2 linked regions of the Oryctolagus cuniculus genome follow. The protein of the gene in region 1 purifies or fractionates together with the protein of each later gene. This does not show direct contact. Links are inferred from orthologs where the notes say so. Each region holds a gene or a part of one and is shown in the gene's direction. Other genes may lie near its edges.

Region 1 (10,430 bases):
CAGCCATTGAGGGGGTGAACCAATGGAAAAAGACCTTTCTCTCTGTCTCTCTCACTGTCCACTCTGCCTGTCAAAAAAAAAGAGAGAGACTTACACCCCTAACGAGCATAATTTCTTTTTTTTTTTTTAAGATTTATTTATTTATTTGAAAGTCAGAGTTACACCCCCCACCGCAGGCTGTGAGCGTGGACGGCCGGGCCCCAGATGGAGCCCCGTGGCTCTCTAAGGGATAGTTCCTGAAGGATAATCACCATCGTCTCACTCCTTGAAGCTTACGGCACAGCGCCTCGCTTCGCCAATTCACCAGAGTAGAGCACTATTTTTAAACACTGGATTAATTTACTTGAGTGACAGAGTGAGCTCCCGTCCACTGGGTCACTTCCCAAGTGGGGCCCAAAGCCAGGAGCACAGAGGTCAACCCAGGTCTCCGATTCAGGCAGCCGGACACCAACTACTTAAGCCATCAGTGTGGCCTCTCAGGGTGGGCATTGGCAGACGCCAGGGGTCCGGAGCCAGGCACCAGACCCAGGCACTGAAATCAGGAATGACCCCTAAAATTCACACAAAAATATGGCCCCGTAAAGTCCCCCAGAAGCGCTATCTGGGGTGCCACGTATGCTACCGGAATTTGGGGTGCCGTACGATTTCACCATACGCTTTTTACTAAATCCCCAACATTTATAAGCCCGAGAGGGCTCTTGCCCAATATTTAGAGAAGAATTCTAAATACCGGCACAGATAAACGAGGCAGCACGGCACATTTTAGGCCTTTATTTAGTGTGAAAGATGCGTAGGAGAGTGGGAGCTTTATTAAGGGAGAGGGGTAAATCTGGGTTCACACGAGCACCAGGAACCAGCCACGAGGAGGAGCACCTGGGCCAGGAAGCCTGAGGGGTGGCCCGAAGGCCACGCGCCCTGGAGGCGCAGGGCTACAGCGAGCCCCTCCTGGCGAGAGGCCAGGGCAGAAGAGAAGAGGGCCGGACACACCGTGTCCCAGGCTTTAACCCACTTCCAAAGGGGAGTGGTTAATTACCCTGATTGGCTGGTGGGCGCCCAGGTGTGGCCAGGTGGGGGGATGAGGTCACACAGGGGCGTGGCGAAGGCGTGGTCTTCCAGCTCACAGACCTAATCGATTTTAACCTGTAGGCCTGCCTACTTCAGTACCACCTCAGGGGGCTCCAGCAGCAGCCAGCGGCCCGCCTGCCCGCGAGGTCACCACCCCAACAGCCGCGCCCCGCGTTCCCCAGTGAGCAGGATTGGCCAGCCAGCTCGGCAGAAGCTGGGGTTGTGAGGACCCCGACGGGTTAACAGGCGGTCAGGGCGGTCCCAGAGGAAGTTAGGGTGGTGGAGTGCATGCACCCCCCCCAAGGCAAGAACCAAAAGCCCGCCCTCCTACCGAGGAATCTCCAAATTTACCATGAGAATAGGGAGGGAGTGGTGGCACGGTTGATGGTGAAAACATGTGGCCCACCCCACCCTGAGCGAGCCAGCCCACAGCTAGGTTTCCAATCAGGACCTTTGTCCCCGCCCTGTAACTGAACGCCAAGATGATTGTCAAGTTCTTTTGTTTTCCAAAATTAAGCTTAAAAACCCCAAGTGCCGCGGGGGCCTCTGACAGCCCCCTCTGTGCCACCCTGGCTGGAGGCCTCTTTCTGATCAACCTCGCTTTTAAATCCAGACGCCTGGGGGCTCTTCCACTTGAGACCAAGAACCGCGGCAGCAGTACGCTCTCCGCCGTCACGTCCCCGCACGGGGAGCACCGTTAAACAGGACATTGAAGTATTCCTGGGGGCGGGTGGTACCGTGCTGGGGTGACCACAGTGCTGGCTCCCGTGCCCAGGGAACCAGCGGGAGATGGCCCGGGTGCTCGGGTCCCTGCATCCACGTGGGAGACCCAGACGGAATTCCTGCTTCCTGGCTTTGGCCTGGCCCAGCCTTGGCACTGCAGCCCTCAGGGGAGTGACCCCGCAGATGCAGGCTCTCTATCCCCCCGCCCCCATCATTGTCTTTCAGTCTTGCAGGAGGCACCTTTAGGAGTTTCTCAAGGCCCAGGGTTTTTTCTTACTGGGAGGAGGAGACTGGGGGTGGGTGGCTGGGGGGGGGGGGGTGTTTACCTCCCGCTCCAAACTGAAGCCCTCCCAGAATTCCAAACTGCTTTTTAGAGAATTCTAGGCACAGGCTCAACCACGGCCTGCATCGTGGTTACACACAGGTACACGTGGGCTTCATGTAGGGAGTGGACAGGGAAAGGTAAGAAGGGGGATGTTTTTAATTGTTTTTTAGAGTTTTTATTTATTTATTTGAAAGGCAGACTTACAGGGAGGCAGAGAGAGAAAAATCCTCCATCCACTGGTTCATTCCCCGAATGGCGGGAGCTGGCCCGATCTGAACCAGGAGCCTGGAGCTTCTTCCGGGTCTTGCACGTGGGTGCCCAAGGACTTGGGCCATCCTCCACTGCTCTCCCAGGCCACAGCAGAGAGCTGGACTGGAAGTGGAGCAGCCGGGACTAGAACTGGCGTCCACGTGGGATGCCGACACTGCAGGCGGCGGCTTTACCCGTTATCTGGAAGGGGAACTCCACACCCCGGGTAAGGGGAAGGGATGGGTCATCTGATTAGGGATAGGATGACCAGCAGGTGGGCCTCCAGCTCAGGAACTCAACCCATCGCCCCAACTCCCCACTTCACCACCTTCCCCAGGCCCCCACCGCCCCGCGCTGACGCCCGGTCTCCCACCTCCCTCTTGAAAATGTATCACCACCCCTGCTCCAGCACACACACTGGGCTTTTTTTTTTTTTTTTAAGATTTTTACTTATTTCTTCGGGAGGCAGTCACAGAGACATAGAAAGGACTTCCATCCACTGGCTCCCTCCCCAAATGGCCACAAGGGCAGGAGCCAGGAGCTTCTTCCGGTCTCCCACGCGGCTGCAGGGGCCCAAGCACTTGGGCCATCCTCCACTGCTTTGGGCTGGAAGAGGAGCAGCTGGGACTTGAACTGGCATCCTCACGGGATGCCGGCGCCTCACGCAGAGGCTTAGCCTGCTCCACCACAGCCCGGCCCCCACCAAGGGAGTTCTGAGCCCACCGTGACCCCTGACAGGGGACAGCATGTCCAGGCACATTCCGTGAACTGACAAGTGCCTACTGCGGGCTGGACTCTGGGAAAGAGGCTCCAGGCCGTCCGGGGCCTCCCGGACCGCGGCACCCACGCCCACGTCGCCCCTCTGGTGGGGCTCACGCCCAGCCCAGCGCCGGCAGAGCCATGTACCGGGTGCCTGCCGGGGGCGGCACCGCAGCCTGGAGATGGCAGGGCCGCGGGAAGCGGGAACCACGAGGGGACCGGCGGAGGGAGGCAGGCTGGCCCGACACTGAGCGAGCCGCACCCCAAAGCCTGCACAGGGAGGGGTCTGCCGAGAGGCCACCGGCACAGGCGGGACACGGACCCGCGTTCAGCGGCAAAGAGCAAGAGACAGCGCCCACGCCACCCCGAGCTGGTTCCCTCCCCCAGAGCCCCTGCAGCTGGGACTGAGCCAGGCCCAAGCTGAGAGGGGAGTCCACCTGGTCCCACGCGCGGGCGCCTGCTACCCCAGGGCGCGCGTTCGCGGGGCGTGGGTGCGGCGCTGGGCCTCGAACCTGCAACTAGCTGGGATGTGGCGGGGCCCCGGGCGGTCCTCGCGCGAACCCATCCAGTTCCCCGAACCACACACGGGGCCTGCACGCAGAAGCACCCACCGAACCCAGACTCATCTCTCTCCCGCCTTCCCCACCCCACCCCCTGGGGCTGGACCCCCGGCCGCGGCCTCCAATGCCCGCGTCCGGCCCAAGCCACGGCGCCTTCTCGGCCACGGCGCAATTCGGGGAGACCCAGGGTCTAACAGGTGGGCCGAAGCCGGAGGCGCAAACGCGGGCACTGGCGCTCACGGGCCGAGCCGCTCTCCCGGCGCCGGCGCAGACAGTCGCGCCCCAGGCCCACGCGAGGACAGGGTCGTCTCGGCCGGAGGCAGCCGCAGTCCCCAGAGCCCCGGCAACTGGGCGTTCAGGGCAGCCCCGAACTCCCACAAACCACCGGCGGGGCGACACCCGGCACCCGCTCTTTGACGGGCAGCCGTTTAAACCTATCAACGCAAAGTGTTGGCAAGTCTCCGCCCAATTGAAATTTTTTTTCTTGTGAAGGCGGTTCCTTCATGGAGTCTGGCAGCCCAATGGGAAAGGTGGAAATTTCCAGAAAGAACAGAACCAATGGGCGCTGCCAGCTCGACCGCGATTGACAAACCAACCAGCCAATCCTAGTCGCAGACGTACGCCCCTCCCTCCATCCACAGGGCCTGAGATGGGCGGGGATTGCCCGAGAGAGCCAATCAGGAGGTGCGGGGAAGGCCGGGTTGACGGGATTACTGGTCTCCGACCAATGAAAGAAAAGCGAAAATGATAGGCTGGACTTCAAGCCAATTGCAGAGGAGCAGAGGGAGCCCCCTAGAGGCGCTCGGCCAGTGAGCAGGCGAGGAAGAGGCGGGAGCCGGGGTCCTGGCATCTTCTAGTAGGTTCCAGAAGGCGGCGCGTGCGGCTGGGAACGCGGAGCGGACGGGTTCGATTCAACGGGGTTCCGGGCCGGACTATGGAGCAGGTGAAGGGGGAGGGGCGGGCTGTGCCCGAGACGGCTCGGGCACCGGCCGAGGCTGGGCCCGGCGGAGTGGCGGGGCGGGCACCGGCTCGGGGCGGCCGGGGCCGGGGCCGGGCTGTCGGCGGCGGGAGGCGAGGGCGTGAGGGCCGCGGCCTGAGGGCAGGCCGGCGGCCGCCCGTGGCGGGGCCGGGCCGCGGGGAGCGCGGGCCGCCGGGGGAGGCCTGAGTTGGGCGTGAGGCCTCCCGAGAGGTGGCTGCAGGCCGAGCCGCGGGTGGGCGAGGGGCAGGAGCCGCGGCCGGGGGAGGTCGCGGCCTGGGCGGGCAGCGACTGGGGACGGGGAAGCCGCCCCGGACGGTGACCTCGGGGAAAGCCGGGAGCGGGGACGGGAGCGCTGGGAGTGCCGAGGGACTTTGCAGCCTGGGGTCCCCGGGGGCAGGAGAGGCCTCCCTGGCTGCGTCGAGGTCGGGGTCCGGGCGGCCGGCGGCGGGGACGAGTGCCCTCCGGCCGGCGTCTCGCGGGTCCGTGTGCGACGTGCGGCCGCAGCCCGAGAAGTCGGGGTCTGACCGCGCGGGGAGGCGTCCCCAGCCGTGGACCTGCGGCGTTGGAAGCGATGCCCACGGGGGCCTGCAGGTGCGCGCGAGACCTCGCGAGGCGGCTGCCGTGGGGCCGCGGCCACTGACGGTGGAAAAAGCGGGGAGCCGGGCGCCGTGGCCTGGGGAGGGCCCCTGCAGCGGGGGCCTTTGTTCTGGCGCGGTGGGCAGGGCTGGAGCGGCCCGTGCGCGGCCGGGACCGAGGTGCCCCGTGCTGACCTGGAGCGGGACGGGGAGAGGGTGGTGCCCGTCTCGGGCCTCCGTAGTGTTGTGTCCGGGGCGAGGCAGGCCGGCGTGGGCCAGCGCGGGGACTGGAAGCCCTTGGTCTGTTGGTGTAGAAGCGGCCGTCGGTGCTGTGGGCGGTTCTCCTGGGCCGCCCACTGCGGGCCCATTACGGGCGGACTGCAGCCTAAGCCGGGGGTCCTGCCGCCCGCGCTCGCGCCCAGGTGCGCTAGCACCCGCCCCTCCGAGTCCAGGCCCCGAGAGCGCCGGGGGACTGCTCGGCCCTCGGTTTTGGATTTCGGCTGTGAAGTCCGTCCTGCAGTTAGACCTCAGAGCGGACAAGTTAGAGTCAGGGGCGGCGGGAGGGAGCGCCCACCCGCCGGCTCACCCCCGCGTGGCCCTAAGGCCAGGGCTCCCACGCGGGGGCAGAGCCCAAGCACGAACCAGCAGGGCTGCCGTGTTGCAGGCAGCTTAACCCTCCACCCCACAGCCCTGCCCCGTGGGTGTCTAAAACAAGGACCTTTCTCGTCTCAGGGTACACTGTACTTTTAGAAAGAAAAGAGGTTTATTTGCTTGTTCGAAAGGCAGAGTTGTATGCACTGGGAGACACAGAAATATCTTCCATCCACTGTCCCACTCCTCCAGTAGCCACAGTGGCGGGGACTGGGCCAGGCCAAGGCCAGAAGCTGGAAACCCTGCCCGGGGCTCCCACACTGCTGGCGGGCCCATCTCTGCTTTTCCAGGTGCATTCGCAGGGCGCTGGCCTGGGAGTGGAGCGGCCGGGGCTGGAACCAGAGCCCAGGAGAAGCTGGTGTTGCACACAGCGGCTTAGCCTGCTGCACCGCCCCTGGCCGCAGGCTTGCACATCCGACCAGGGCGCGCATCCCGCTGTGGGAAGTCAGAGAGGCAGAGAGAGGTCTTCATCCGCTGGTTCACTCCCCAGATGGCCACAGCGGTCGGAGCTGCACCGATCTGAAGCCAGGATCCCCCTCCGGGTCTCCCACACGGATGCAGGGCCCCAGCACTGGGGCCATCTTCCACTGCTTTCCTAGGCCACAGCAGGGAGCTGGATCTGAAGAGGAGCAGCCGGGACTAGAACTGGTGCCCTGTGGGCTGCTGCACTGCAGGCAGCGGCTTTACCCGCTACGCCACAGCACCAGCCCCTGTGTGACACGCGTGAAGCGGTGTTTGCGGTCCTGTGTGCTGGCACCCCTTCCGCGGGATGTGCTGGAACGCTGGTCCTGACCTAGAGGATTGTGCCGCAGCTCAGTCCTTGCATGGAAACTGCTTTTCCTCGCGTGGTCAGGACCTCACCAGGCTTCCTCAGCTGCCCCTGGGCACCAGTTTTTTTTTTTTTTTTTTAAGATTTATTTAAATTTATTTGATAAGAGTTAAAGAGAGAAGTAGAAGCAGAGTTAGCGGTCTTCCATCCGCTGGTTCACTCCCCAGATGGCCACAGCGGCCAGAGCTGAGCCCAGCTGAAGCCAGGAGCTGGGAGCTTCTTCCCACGTGGTGCAGGGGCCCGAGGACTTGGCCCATCCTCCACTGCTCTCCCAGGCCACCGCACAGAGCATCAGAGTGGAGCAGCTGGGGCTCGAACCGGCGCCCATCTGGGATGCCAGAGCTGCGGGCAGGCCTTAGCCCGCCGCATCGCGGTGCTGCCTCACCATAGAGTTCTGTGACTTGGCGTTTCCCCTCCCTTGCTGCACTGTTAGGCCTTTTCCTGTCTTCTTCCCTGGCTCTTGCACTCCTTCCTCTTGGAGGGTTCCTGGGTGCTGTGCCCGGAGGGCCCAGAGTCCTTTGTGTTAATGCAGTTTTTTTCTTTTTTTCTAAGATTTTATTCATTTATTTGAGAGGTAGAGTTAGAGACACAGAGAGAGGTCTTGCATCTGCTGGTTCACTCCCCAAACGACCACAATGGCCGGAGCTGGGCGGAACTGAAGCCAGGAGCCACTCTGGGTCTCCCACGCGGGTGCAGGGGCCCGAGGACTTGGGCCATCTTCTGCTGTGCCGGGACACAAACCGGCACCCATGTGGGATGCCGGCGCTGTGGTGGAAGCTTAGCCTACCGCGCCCCAGCGCTGGCCCCTGGTGTGTTTCTGTCGTGGATACCCTGTGGGGGTTGGGGGTGGCATCGAATGGCAGAGTGGTACAGTAACTTTGTGACGTGGCCTGATACCAGGGAATGTGTTGGTATTTTATTTTTTTATTTTTTTACCTTTGAAAGGTAGAGTTAGAGAGGGGTCTTCCATCTGTTGGCTCGCTCCCAGTGGCCGGGCTAGGCCATGCCAAGGCCAGGAGCTTCATCTGGGTCTCCCACGCGGGTGCCGGGGTCCATGTACCTGGACCACCTGCTGCTGCTTTCCCGGCGCGTCAGTGGAGAGCTAGACCAGGACTCCAGGCTGCGCTCTGGCATGCCATGCATTTCAGAGGGAGCTCAGGGTGTGGGCTGCCCGGGGCGGGTGGCCTTCCCCGGGCGGTTCCAGCAAGAAGCCCCTTGGTTAGGACCCTTCTAACCTGGCTTTCTTCGACCCTTTGCTTCTAAGTATTGGCAGGGACGGGAGACCAAAGCAGGGCCTTGGTCTGCGTTCTCCGTCCCCTGTGTGGCCCCGGGGAAGAAGCTAGGGGTCAGCTTTCCCCGTGCAGGACGGCGGTACTGCGCGTGGCCACGTCGCCCTGGCTGAACAGGAGGGGCTGGCAGAGGAGCCCTGACTGGCGTCCTGAGCTCCGGGGAGCTCGCCACAGCCTGCAGGCCCTGCGCCGCGAGTGCTGATCCAGGTGCTGGCTTCCCGCGAGGGGCGGGGCCTGTGCCCGGCGTGTCATGTGGACTGGGAATCTGCCGCGTGGTTCGCTTGTCCGTGGAAGGGCCCCTCCGGGAGCGGCTCCCTCGTCTCCGGGAGACGGGTTAGAGCGGGGCCCGCTCGGCCCTGCCGGCTGCCGGAGGGGTGGATGAAGCTGCTTCCCGTTCTGATGTGATGAGGCTCGGGAAGACCTGGGGGGCTCGGGAAGGCCTGGGGGCGCTGAGCGCGCTGTGCCCACAGGTGAGCGAGCTGAAGGAGAAGGGCAACCAGGCCCTGAGTGCCGGCAACATCGACGACGCCGTGCGGTGCTACTCGGAGGCCATCCGGTTAGACCCCCGGAACCATGTGCTCTACAGCAACCGCTCCGCGGCCTACGCCAAGAAAGGGGACTACCAGAAGGCCTACGAGGACGGCTGCAGGACCGTGGAGCTGAAGCCCGACTGGGGCAAGGTACGCCGGGGCGGCGCTCCAGCTCGTCCGCAGCGAGGCCTGGGCTCCGTCCTCTGTCCTGGGAGAAGGGAGCCGCTGCCGGCCGGGGGCGGGGGGGGGGGCAGTCTCGATCCTCAGCCGGGGCATCCTGTCCTGTTCGTGGCCTAGGTGGAAGTGTCAGTTTGCTGCTTAACTTGTAGATGGGTCTTGAGTCGTCTCTGGGAGTTCACCTCCAGGCTGCTTTATTTTATTTTGTGTTTGTCTTTGCTGGCTCCAGGGCTATTCGAGAAAAGCAGCCGCTCTTGAGTTCTTGAACCGATTTGAAGAAGCCAAACGAACCTACGAGGAGGGCTTGAAACATGAAGCCAGCAACCCCCAGCTCAAAGAGGGCCTGCAGAACATGGAGGCCCGCCTGGCAGGTGGGCGCCGGGCGCGGCTCCTCGCCTGGCCGTGTCCTCGAGTTAGAAGGTAGCCTGCAGGGACGGGTTTCACAGGTGGCTTCGCTGTGTCCCCACAGAGAGGAAGGTCATGAACCCCTTCAACATGCCCCATCTGTACCAGAAGCTGGAGAGCGACCCCAGGACCCGGGCGCTGCTCAGCGACCCCACCTACCGCGAGCTCATAGAGCAGCTGCGGCACAAGCCGTCGGACCTCGGCACGTGAGTAGGGGCGGGGCGGGCGGGCCAGGCCGCGGTTTCTGTCTTAAAGTGGGAGGCGTGGTACAGTCCCCCTGCGCCCCTCACCCCGTTTCCCCATTAACATCTCGATTGGAGTCCCTGTCACAACTGATTAACTATTCCCACTCTCCTGTTTCTTATGCATCCAAAACCTCTCATTCCCTCCCAGCCTCCACCGTTGATTTCTGTTAGAGCAGTGAAGGTTTGTTTATAGCAAGGGTCGGGGAGAGACTGGCGTTGTGTGCAGCAGGTAAAGCTGGCTCCCGTGACGCCAGCGTCTCACGTGGGTGCCGACCGTGTCTGCTGCTCCTGGCTTCAGCCTGGCCCAGCCCTGGCCGTTGCAGCCACCTGGGGAGTGAACCGGTGGATGGAAGACCTCTGTCTCTTCCTTTGTAACTCAGATAACTTTGAGATAAATAAGTCTTTGAAAAAAGGGAGGGGCGGTGGAAGCGTGTGTTACAGTGAGCAGAGTCTCTGCACTCTGCGTGTGGCTCCTCCCCCTGCTCGCAGTTCTGGGCGGGACCAGCTCCATGGTTGCAGGGACACGAGCCCTGCTGCTCCCTGTTGGGATTTTTGCAACAGGAACAGTCACACTGCTGGGGTGATTTGAGGGGTGGGCGTTGTGCTGTAGTGCGGGCACCTTGTGGCACCGGATTAAGTCCTGGGGTCCACTTCCAGTCCCCCTGCCTGCTAATGGCCTGGGAGAGCAGCAGCAGTTGGGCACAGTGCCTGGGACCCTGCCCCCACGTGGGAGGACCACGTGAAGCTCCTGGCTTCGGCCCTCGGGGGAGTGATGGAAGTGGATGCAAGGGAAAAGGCTGTCTTTCCTCTCTGTAACTGTACCTTTCAAGTAAATTTTTGAAAGATTAAGATTAAGGCAAATAGGGAGAGAGAAAGAGATCTTCCATCTGCTTGTTACCTCCCTGGTGCACACAACAGCTGGGACAGGGCCACCAGCATGAGCTGAGCTGAGCTGCCGGCTGCCTCTCCCAGCACGTTAGCAGGAAGCGGGGTTGGTAGCAGGCAGCCAGGACGCGCACCAGACTCCAATACTGGGTGGGGTGCCCCAGGCGGCAGCGTAATGCGCTTC
Region 2 (9,561 bases), on another chromosome or scaffold:
TGATCTCGCAATATAACACTTTGAGATGTGCAAGAATTTTTTTAAATTCTTTTGCCCTCCTGATTCTACAACCTAGTTCTGCAGTGACTAGATGTGTTCTTGTATATGTGTGGTGGGTGCATGTGTGTGCAGTGGGAGTGGTAGGGAAGGTGACGCTCCTATAGTTTGATCAGAACTTTCTACCAAAAATCTACAGGGGCTTTCTCATTAAAGTTGGGAAAAACAAAGATGACCCCATCGCTGTCACTTTTAAATACAGTTCTAGAGAGGACCTTAGTCAAGACTAAAGAAGAAAATAAGAATATGATTATAAAGGAGGACATAAAAATTATTTTTGGCGGATAATGTGATCATCAACTTAGAAGAACCATTAAAAACAAGAGACTGGCCATTAAAATTAATGTGTAAATTGAGGTTGCCAGTTTTAAAAGGAACTTAGAAATACAGCATTTATTAAATCAGCAATAATTGAGTAGAAAATGCAATTATTTATAATAGTAATAATATTCAAAAAGTACCTAAGAATCTAGAACACTTTAGAGCCCACAAGACAGGGCCAGTGCTGTGGCGTAGCGGGCAAAGCTGCTGTCTGTAGTGCTGGCATCCCACATGGGCGCCAGTTTGAGTCCTGGCTGTTCCACTTCTGATCCAGCTTGCTGCTAATGCACCTGGGAAAGCAGTGGGAGATGGCCCAAGTACTGCCTAGGCCCCTGTACCCACATGGGAGACCCGGAGGAAGCTTCTGGCTCTGGCTTCAGCCTGGCCCAGCCCCATCCATTGTAGCCATTTGGGGAGTGAACCAGCAGACGGAAGATATCTCTCTCTCCCCTTCTTTCTCTATCTCTGCCTAAAAAAAAGAAAAAAAGCAAAAAGGAGTACGCAAGGCTAGAATGAAAAATACTTCAAAACTCTAATAAAGAATATAGAAGATCTGAGTAAGTGATGAGATGCGTCATGTCCCTGAATGTAGTGAAAATACTATAAAGAGGTCTGATTTCCCTCAACTCTTTGAGAAACCCAAAAACTTATGCTAGAGTTTATATGGAGGAATAATGGGCCATAAATCACTTCTTCTAAAGAAGATTGGGGCTTGGGGAACTGCTCTGCCAAATATTAAAGTGTATGTGGGTTAAGAACAGTCAAATATGCTAATGTATGCAGTAAAGATTATACAGATCAGCAGGGAAAAGAAAAATAAAAAAAAAACCTTAGCTAATCACATAAGGATGGATTCCAAATGAATTGAAGATACAAATACAAGAAAGGTTAAAACTGTATAGTTAGTACAGGAAAATATCACATGGTCAGAGGTGAAGAAGGCCTTTAAACAAAACTTCAGAACCATTAACCAAAAGGCTAAACAAATGATGAATTTGATTTCATCAAGATAAGGATTTCTGCTTAGTGAAGGAGATCCTGACAAAGTTCATCTATGACAGCAGTGTCTGTAATCAATAAGAAATTAATATCTCCAGTATGGAAATCAACAAAAAGACAGGAACTCCTGTTTAAAAAAGAAAAAAACACAAAGGAGCCGGATTTATGGTGCAGCAGGTTAAGCTGCTGCCTGGGAGGCTGGCATCTCATGTCAGCACTGGGTCAGGTCCTAGCTGCTCCACTTTCAGTGCAGCTCCCTGCTGATGCATCTGGGAAAGCAGTGGATGATCGCTGACAACCTGGGCCCCTGTGAGCCGTGTGGGAAACCCAGATGGAGTTCCAGGCTCCAGATTTTGACCTGGCTCAGCCCTGGCTATCGCAGCCATTTTGGGAGTGAACCAACAGATGAAAGATCTCTTTCTCCCTTTGTCTCTCCCTTTCTCTCTGTCCTTCTGCCTTTCAAATAAATTAAAAATGAACCTTAAAAAAAGGGCAAAGTATGTCAGCAGGTTGTTGTGGATATCGAAGAGCTATCAAACATTATTAATAAGGAAAGAAATGCACTTACATACTGAGATATCACTGCGCCCTCATTAGACTGGCAACACATAGAAGCTTGGAATGCTCCGTGCCCACGGAGGTGGGGACAAGGGACTCCATGCTTCACCGTTGGGAGGGATGGTACAGCTACTCTGGAGAAGAGTTGTAGCTCCCTGCCACATTTAGAGTACACATACACTGCAGCTGTGGCCTGGACGTAGCCTAAGGAAATTCTCACTTGGGGGTGGTAGGGGGGTGGCATGCATTCATTGAAGCACTATATGCAGTAATCAGCAGTTGGTGGACACCCTAGGCATCCATTCTGGGAGAGTGGGGAGGTAAAATCAGGTGTGTATACACATGGAATATTGTATCATTAGAAGCTGCTGATTTTTTAAAAATTGTGTTTAAAAATTTTTCAACTTATTTATATGAAAGTCAGAGAGAGCGAGCGAGCTCCTGTCTATTCATTCAGTCCCCAAATGCCTTCAACTACCCATGCTGGGCCAGGCCAGCTGGGAACCAGGAACTCAATAGAGTGGAGGGCAGGGACCCAACTACTAGAGTCATCCCCTGCTGACTCCCAGCTGCCAGCTACAACTGGGAACAGTCAGGACTTGAACCCAAGTATTCCAGTATGGCATGTGGGCATCTCAAGCAGTCTGAATTACTATACCAAGTGCTTTCCCCTAGAAGCTATCAATTAGATGCACTGTACACACAGAAACCTCGTTGGTTCATAGTAATATAGTGCTGAATGAAAAAAAAAACCAGAATGAGATATAAATTAAAAGTACACAGTAGGGGCTGACATTGCAGTGTGGTGATAAGGCCATGGCCTGCAACGCCAGCACCCCATGTCAGCACCTGTTTGTGTCCCAGTTGCTGGGTGTCCTATCCAGCTCTCTGCTGCTGGCTGGGAAGAGCAGAAGATGGCCTAAGTGTTTGGGCCTGGCCCAGCCCTGGTCATTGCAGCCATCTGCAGAGTAAACCAGCAGATGGATGACCTCTCTCTCACTATCTCTCTTTTTCTCTAATACTGACTTTCAAATAAATCTTTTTTTTAAAAGTACACAATTTAACAAACAATAGAGTTTGTGGGAACAAATAAAATGGAACAGTTGCCCTGTAAGCAAGGAGGAAAATGGAAGGGAGGCAAGTGGATAAAAACAAAATAGAAAATGGAAGAATTAGAAGCGGAACAAGGAACTTTTGAAGTGTTCCTAATGGTCTGTAAACCTGAGTTGGATTGAATGAGAGATGAAGATCAATACGAAGAACATCCTCCGTAATAACTGCTTTGTTTTCCAATTTACATAGGGTTGAAGCTTTGAGAGAAGCTGCCAGTGCTGTTGAGCAAGAGAAAGAAATCCTTCTGGAAATGATCCACAGTATCCAAAATAGCCAGGACATGAGGCAGATCAGTGACGGTGAGCGCCATTTCCACTGAAGGGGGCTTGTCTTCAAGGGGTGTGTGTGAAGTGTGGGCAGCTTGTACTTGACTTCTGGCGTGTGTACTCTAGGCTTCAGCATTTATTGCATGCTGCAGAGAGCAGCTGTAGCTGTCAGTTTGTAGAAATGCCACTTCCCCAGAGATCACTCCCAGCATGCTCGCTGTGCCGCAGCATGGAGCGAACGGCAAAGCCCTACCAGCTGCAGGACTGGCCCCAAGCTTGAAGCCACCTGTTCACCACAGTTCCACATTCTAACTTTGGTGCTTGTAAGTTACTGGACCGCAGGAAAGGTGAGAGCAGAAGCAAAAGGTGAGGAGTGGAAGCAGGGAAGTAAAGAAGCAGAGATGAACTGAGGTGTGACTTAAAGAGAGGAAATGCAAACAAAATGCAGAGAAAAGGTTACATTATGGGGCTGAAAAAGCCCACTTATGTCTCAGAATGTGCGATCATTTTCGTATGAAGAGCATGAGTATGGAGGAATGGGTCACTTGGGATTTTTTTCATTGGCACTGGACTCCCTACTTGGCGCTCCACAGGATAAATTGTGGGCCAGGTAGCTGGTGAGAATGTGAACAGTCTAAGTCCAGCCACAGCTGTTCCACAGCTACTGGGGCTCACGGTCTGGTCTGCCCTTCAGCTTCCTGAGCAAAGTCAATGAAGGACAACCAGGTGGCTTTTACCCAAGATTAACAACAGAGCTCTTTTGACCATCATTGATTGCCTCCTTGTGCTAGCCAAGACTGAGATCAAGGGCCTGCTTATCTCTGCCTGCAGGGGATGGAGCCACGGCCCCAGCCATGGCCCACTTCTGAGGCCAGCTTATCCTCCACTCCCATTATTACTTTTTTTCAGGCAAAATTTGGGGCAAAATATTCTGATTAGCATGCACATTTATTCTAGAATCTCAGACAATTCATCAGTCTTATATGTGTTATAGTTTCAGCTTTTAACTCTAAAACATTTCATAGCAGAAGTGCTTATAGAAAATAAATTTAGCCACACGTGCCTCAGTGTTCTTCACGGTTAAGTCTGTCTCTCATATTGATGACATTTCAAAACTGTTTCTGTCTAGGAGAAAGAGAAGAATTAAATCTGACTGCAAACCGCTTGATGGGACGAACCCTCACTGTTGAAGTTTCAGTAGAAACAATTCGAAACCCACAGCAGCAAGAATCCCTAAAACATGCCACAAGGATTATTGATGATGTGGTCAATAAGTTTCTGGATGATTTGGGAAATGCTAAGAATCATTTAATGTCACTCTACAGTGCCTGCTCGTCTGAGGTGCCACCAGGGCCAGTTGATCAGAAATTTCAGTCCATAGTAATCGGCTGTGCTCTTGAAGATCAGAAGAAAATTAAGAGAAGATTAGAGACTCTGCTTAGAAACATTGAAAACTCTGACAAGGCCATCAAGCTGTTAGAGCATTCTAAAGGAGCTGGTTCCAAAACTCTGCAACAAAATGCCGAAAGCAGATTTAATTAGTCCTTAAACCTAAGAGCATTTACAAATAACGATGTAGGAATGGTAAAGTACTATTTTAAGTGAAAACTAGTTCTTTATGTTAGACATAACCACTTATTTGATACGGATAGTTGTTTCGGATGAGGAAAGTATTTCCAGTGCCATCAGTTTTGTGAATACCAATTAAAACTAGAACTATTTTAATTATCTAGAAGTTTTTATATAGAATTCTTGTACTAGGATCTAGCACATTACTTCTGTGTTTTTCCTGTTCTGTGTATGAATACAAAGTATGGCGTGGGGGACAGTAAGTACTGAGCTGGGGGCAAAGCCACCGCTGCTCTTTCCCAGGCTTTCCCTGTCAAGGAACTACTTTCCCTGTCAAGGACCTGGGGCATCTGCCTCGGCGTGCTTTCCCTTGGGCAGCACACAGCGTACTGCTTCCCTAGTGTTAGCTCAGCCCTGCTTAGCGGGACGAAAGGAATCACACAACAAGAGGCTTTCCCTACATTTTCCCATTCAGTTGTTTTTTAAGGCATCTGTAACCAAATTATTCTGAACTTTTGTGCACCTCATAATATGTGGATAATATGTGGTTTGTGAACATGACAAAGTATGAGAGCGTCACCTGTAATTTTACCACTGTGATCAATACTATATCCATTCATCTTCTCTCAGATGCATAACTTCTCTAAAATTACAGTGTTGTAACTTGGTTGTCCTTAAGTTAAATGCTGCTAGTAGGTCTGCCTACTTGTCACTTGAAAAGCTCTGTTTTGTGCAGTTGTACAACAGTTCACTTACCTGCTTCCCTCTTATTGAACATTTAGGTTGTTTCCGCTTTGTTGCCATTACTGCAGCAGATTATGTACATAAAGCTTTATCATTCTTTCTTTTTTTTACTTTCTTGGTATAAATCCCAGCAGTGGATTTATTGGGTCAAAGGGTATACACATTTTCATGGCCTGACACACATTTCCAAATGTTTTGTATCAGTTCTATCAATTTATACTATCTTTAGTAATTAAAATGTAGCCATTTCACCGAAATTGGTCCAACATTGAGCATTAAACTTTTTCTAACGTTAGATATAAAACACCTTGATGTAGTTTGCTTTTTATTTACTAACAAGGTCAACCATTGTACTGATTATCTGTGGAATGAATCGAAACTATAGAACACATGTGTTCAAAGTAGTTAATGCTATCGATATACAAAAACCTCAACAACTACCCTCAAAACAACTTTGAAATGAATACACTGAACGGCTTTCATTAGGATGTAGGTATTCCTCACACTAAAAAACACAACTCACAATACACTTGATTAGATGCAAGCAGTGCTGGGCTTCTCTGCACAGAGATGCCAAGTTAGTCCCTCTTTATATAAAGCAATTACAATCTGAGAGTATTCATGGTTGCTTTCTGTGCTGTCCCTAACTATGCCTCATTTAAATCTTTTCATTCCATGGAAACACTGGTTCTATCTACGGCTTGCCAGCAGGCTATTTGCTATCATTAGGCTCACTGTCAGATGAAGATTTTGTGTGCCATCTTTTTCTTTCCCAGCTTTTTGAGATTTAAGAAATGGACAGCTAAGTTTTTCTCTGGGTTCTCAAGTGTCGCAGCATCTGTATTAGCCTCGGTTCTGGGAAGTACATCCCTCCCCATCGCCCACTCACCAGGCCTGGACTTTTCCTGCCACAAAATAGTCTCTGGCTCGTGATCCCTGTATCCTGTGCATGGTTCCTTTCTCATTTTCTCTGCTGTGGCATTTTATGGGAAGCTATTCTTTTCTTACCATAGAAGAGAGCTGCATTCCACCATTCCCAAGCTGCCTGGGGTTCACGCCCTGTCTCCAGCCTCCAGAGTGAGCACAGCTAGGAGTCAAGGACCTTTATGTGTTTTAATTATCTTTTTTTAAAAATGTATTTTATTTAAAAGGCAGGGCTACAGAGAGGGAAAGACAGAAATCAACCTTCCATCCACTGGTTCACTCTCCAGATAGCAGCAACTGCCAGGGCTGGGCCAGGCTAAAGCCATGAGTTTTTTCCAGGTCTCCTGCGTGGGTGGCAGGTGCCCAAGCACTTGGGCCACCCTCTGCTGCTTTTCCCAGGCAGTTAGCAAGAAGCTGGATTGGAAGTGGAGCAGCCGGGACTCAAACTGGTGCCCATATTAGATGCCAGCATCACAGGCAGTGGCTTTACTTGCTACGCCACAATGCCAGCCCCACAGGCAGTAGCTTAATCCACTTCACTGCAGTGCTGATCCCCATTTTCTTTTAATTAAAAAATTATTTTATTCTTCAGAGAGACCTCCAGTCTGCTGGTTCACTCCACAAATGCCTGGGAGTGAGGAAGTCAAACCAGGTTTCCTGCGTGGGTGACAGAGAGCCAGTTCCTTGATGTGCATCAGCAGGGATCTGGAATCGGCAGAGCTGAGGTTTAAATCCAGGCACTCTAGAGACATGCAGCCTTCCCCAGCAGCATCTTAACTGCTGTGCCAGACGTCCTGTCTGGATTCTTAACAGATTTTTCTTTATAAAATTAGAAATACAATTTATTTTTAAATAATGAAACTCCCCAAGAATGACAGTTTGGCCCTCATTTAAACGATCATATTTTCTATAGATTATAGTTAGGTCATAAGGGCATTTAGAGTATGTGTCTTCCCTACTCAAACTCTACTGTTCCTAGCATGTAATGTACAGTTTGCGGCTAGCCTGCTTCCCGGCACTGTTCCCATCCCTTCGCTGCCTCTTCTGAGGCCTGGTCTGCCTTCACGCTGAAGGACAGGCTCCCTGACGTGTGAAGGCCCGCAGGACGTGCAGAGGAACTGACAGCACTGAGTTCACCAGTGGAGAACAGAGTGAAAATCCAGCCCAGTGAAAAGTACAGAATTGACCTTCATGATTTTTTTTTTTTTTTTTTGACAGGCAGAATTAGACAGTGAGAGAGACAGAAACAGAAAGGTCTTCCTTTTTCCATTGGTTCACCCCCAAAGTGGCCGCTACGGCTGGCGCTTTGTGGCCAGTGCGCTGCGCTGATCCGATGGCAGGAGCCAGGAGCCAGGTGCTTCTCCTGGTCTCCCATGGGGTGCAGGGCCCAAGCACCTGGGCCATCCTCCACTGCACTCCCGGGCCACAGCAGAGAGCTGGCCTGGAAGAGGGGCAACCGGGACAGAATCCCACACCCCGACTGGGACTAGAACCCGGTTGTGCCAGTGCTGCAGGTGGAGGATTAGCCTAGTGAGCCGTGGCGCTGGCCTGTGATGTTTTAACTTAGGGTCCCTGACATTAAAAAAAAATAATAATAAAGCTTACAGGAGTGGGCAGGACCCACAGTAGTGAATGAACTACTGACTTCCAGTGTTGTAAACTCCACAGTGGACACCATCCTCAGTGTATCCTATGTGAGCAGCCTAAGACATTAGCCAAGTGAGATGCTTTTGTTTTTAAGAATTTATTCAAAAGGCAGAGTTAGACGGAGAGGCAGAGAGAGATCTTTCATTGGCTGGTTTCACTCCCTTTGCAAATGGCTGCAAGAGCCAGGGCTGGGCCAGGACAAAGCTGAGTCAGCAGCTTCATTCAGGTCTCCCACATGAGTTGCAGGGGCCCAAGCACTTGGGCCGTCTTCCATTGCCTTCCCAGGCACACTGGCAGGGAGTTGGATCAGAAATGGGGCAGCCAGGACTTGAACAAGCACCCGTATAGGATACAGTGGCTCAACCTGCTGCAATACAGTGCTGGTCCCAAAATGAGGTATGATGCATACCTCCTAACAGTATGCTATGGGGGCTGGTGCTGTGGCACAGCGGGTTAATGCCCTGCCCTGAAGCGCTGACATCCTATATGGGTGCCAGTTCAAGACCTGGCTGCTCCACTTCCTATCCAGCTCTCTGTTATGGCCTGGGAAAGCAGTGGAAAATGGCCCAAGTCCTTGGGCCCCTACACCCGCGTGGGAAACCCAAAAGAAGCTCCTGGTTCCTGGCTTCGGATTGGCTCAGCTCTGGCCATTGCAGTCAATTGGAGAATGAACCATCGGATGGAAGACCTCTCTCTCTATTGCCTCTCCTCTCTCTGTGTAATTTTTTCAAATAAATAAATAAATCTAAAAAAACCAGTAGGCTATGGACAGTATATTAAAGACATAACAGTGAGTAGAGGCTTGGTTCTTGTTCCATCTAGCATCTGGTTGCACTAAAGAGGTTATCATCTAATGGAAAATTCTGCCTCAACATTTTAAAATTGGAAAGCATGAAAGAACTCGACACAGAAGCAGCAGAATAATGATTTGGTAAACTAAAAAAGGCCCAATGATTTAAACTAGGAAACATCTGTTTATTCATCCCTTTCAAATTATCAGCTGTCAGAAATGCTAACATAACTGATGTGATGCTATTTTTGAAGGTTGGTTTTTACAGTTACTCAGAAACATTAAAAGAACTGAGATTCTTGGCTAAGACAGGAACATGAGTGAGCCTGGGCTTAACCTCTGTGTGGGGGTGTTAGTGTGTGCCTGTGCGTCTGTGCATACAGAGCAAGCAAAGTGAAAATGGACAAAACCCAAAGCACAGGACAACACTGCAGGCACGAGCTGCCATCCTTGCCTCTTACCAGCAGAGGGCCTCATGTCACACAATGTGCCCCTTAAGCCCTGGCCTCCCCAACAGTAAAATAGAAGGAAAAATGCTCCTACAAATACCATATGGTCTCTGATCTGTGGTAA

The links.
Region 2: the proteins of STIP1 (region 1) and BAG2 purify together in Homo sapiens (affinity purification with mass spectrometry; 3 studies listed by BioGRID and IntAct, with this or other methods). This does not show direct contact. The link is inferred for Oryctolagus cuniculus from reciprocal best matches to the Homo sapiens genes STIP1 and BAG2.

What each region holds. Positions count from the first base shown.
Region 1 is NC_091432.1:7,108,122-7,118,551, reverse strand, and holds the start of STIP1 (stress-induced-phosphoprotein 1), read left to right. Parts: upstream 1-4,413; 5' UTR 4,414-4,615; coding exon 4,616-4,624; intron 4,625-8,474; coding exon 8,475-8,684; intron 8,685-8,940; coding exon 8,941-9,082; intron 9,083-9,180; coding exon 9,181-9,322; intron 9,323-10,430. UniProt on the Homo sapiens protein: Acts as a co-chaperone for HSP90AA1. Mediates the association of the molecular chaperones HSPA8/HSC70 and HSP90.
Region 2 is NC_091436.1:112,391,236-112,400,796, reverse strand, and holds the end of BAG2 (BAG family molecular chaperone regulator 2), read left to right. Parts: exon of another isoform or gene 1-659; coding exon of another isoform or gene 660-847; intron 848-3,237; coding exon 3,238-3,347; intron 3,348-4,443; coding exon 4,444-4,856; 3' UTR 4,857-5,931; downstream 5,932-9,561. Other genes in the region: RAB23 (ras-related protein Rab-23), read right to left, coding at 660-847. UniProt on the Homo sapiens protein: Co-chaperone for HSP70 and HSC70 chaperone proteins. Acts as a nucleotide-exchange factor (NEF) promoting the release of ADP from the HSP70 and HSC70 proteins thereby triggering client/substrate protein release.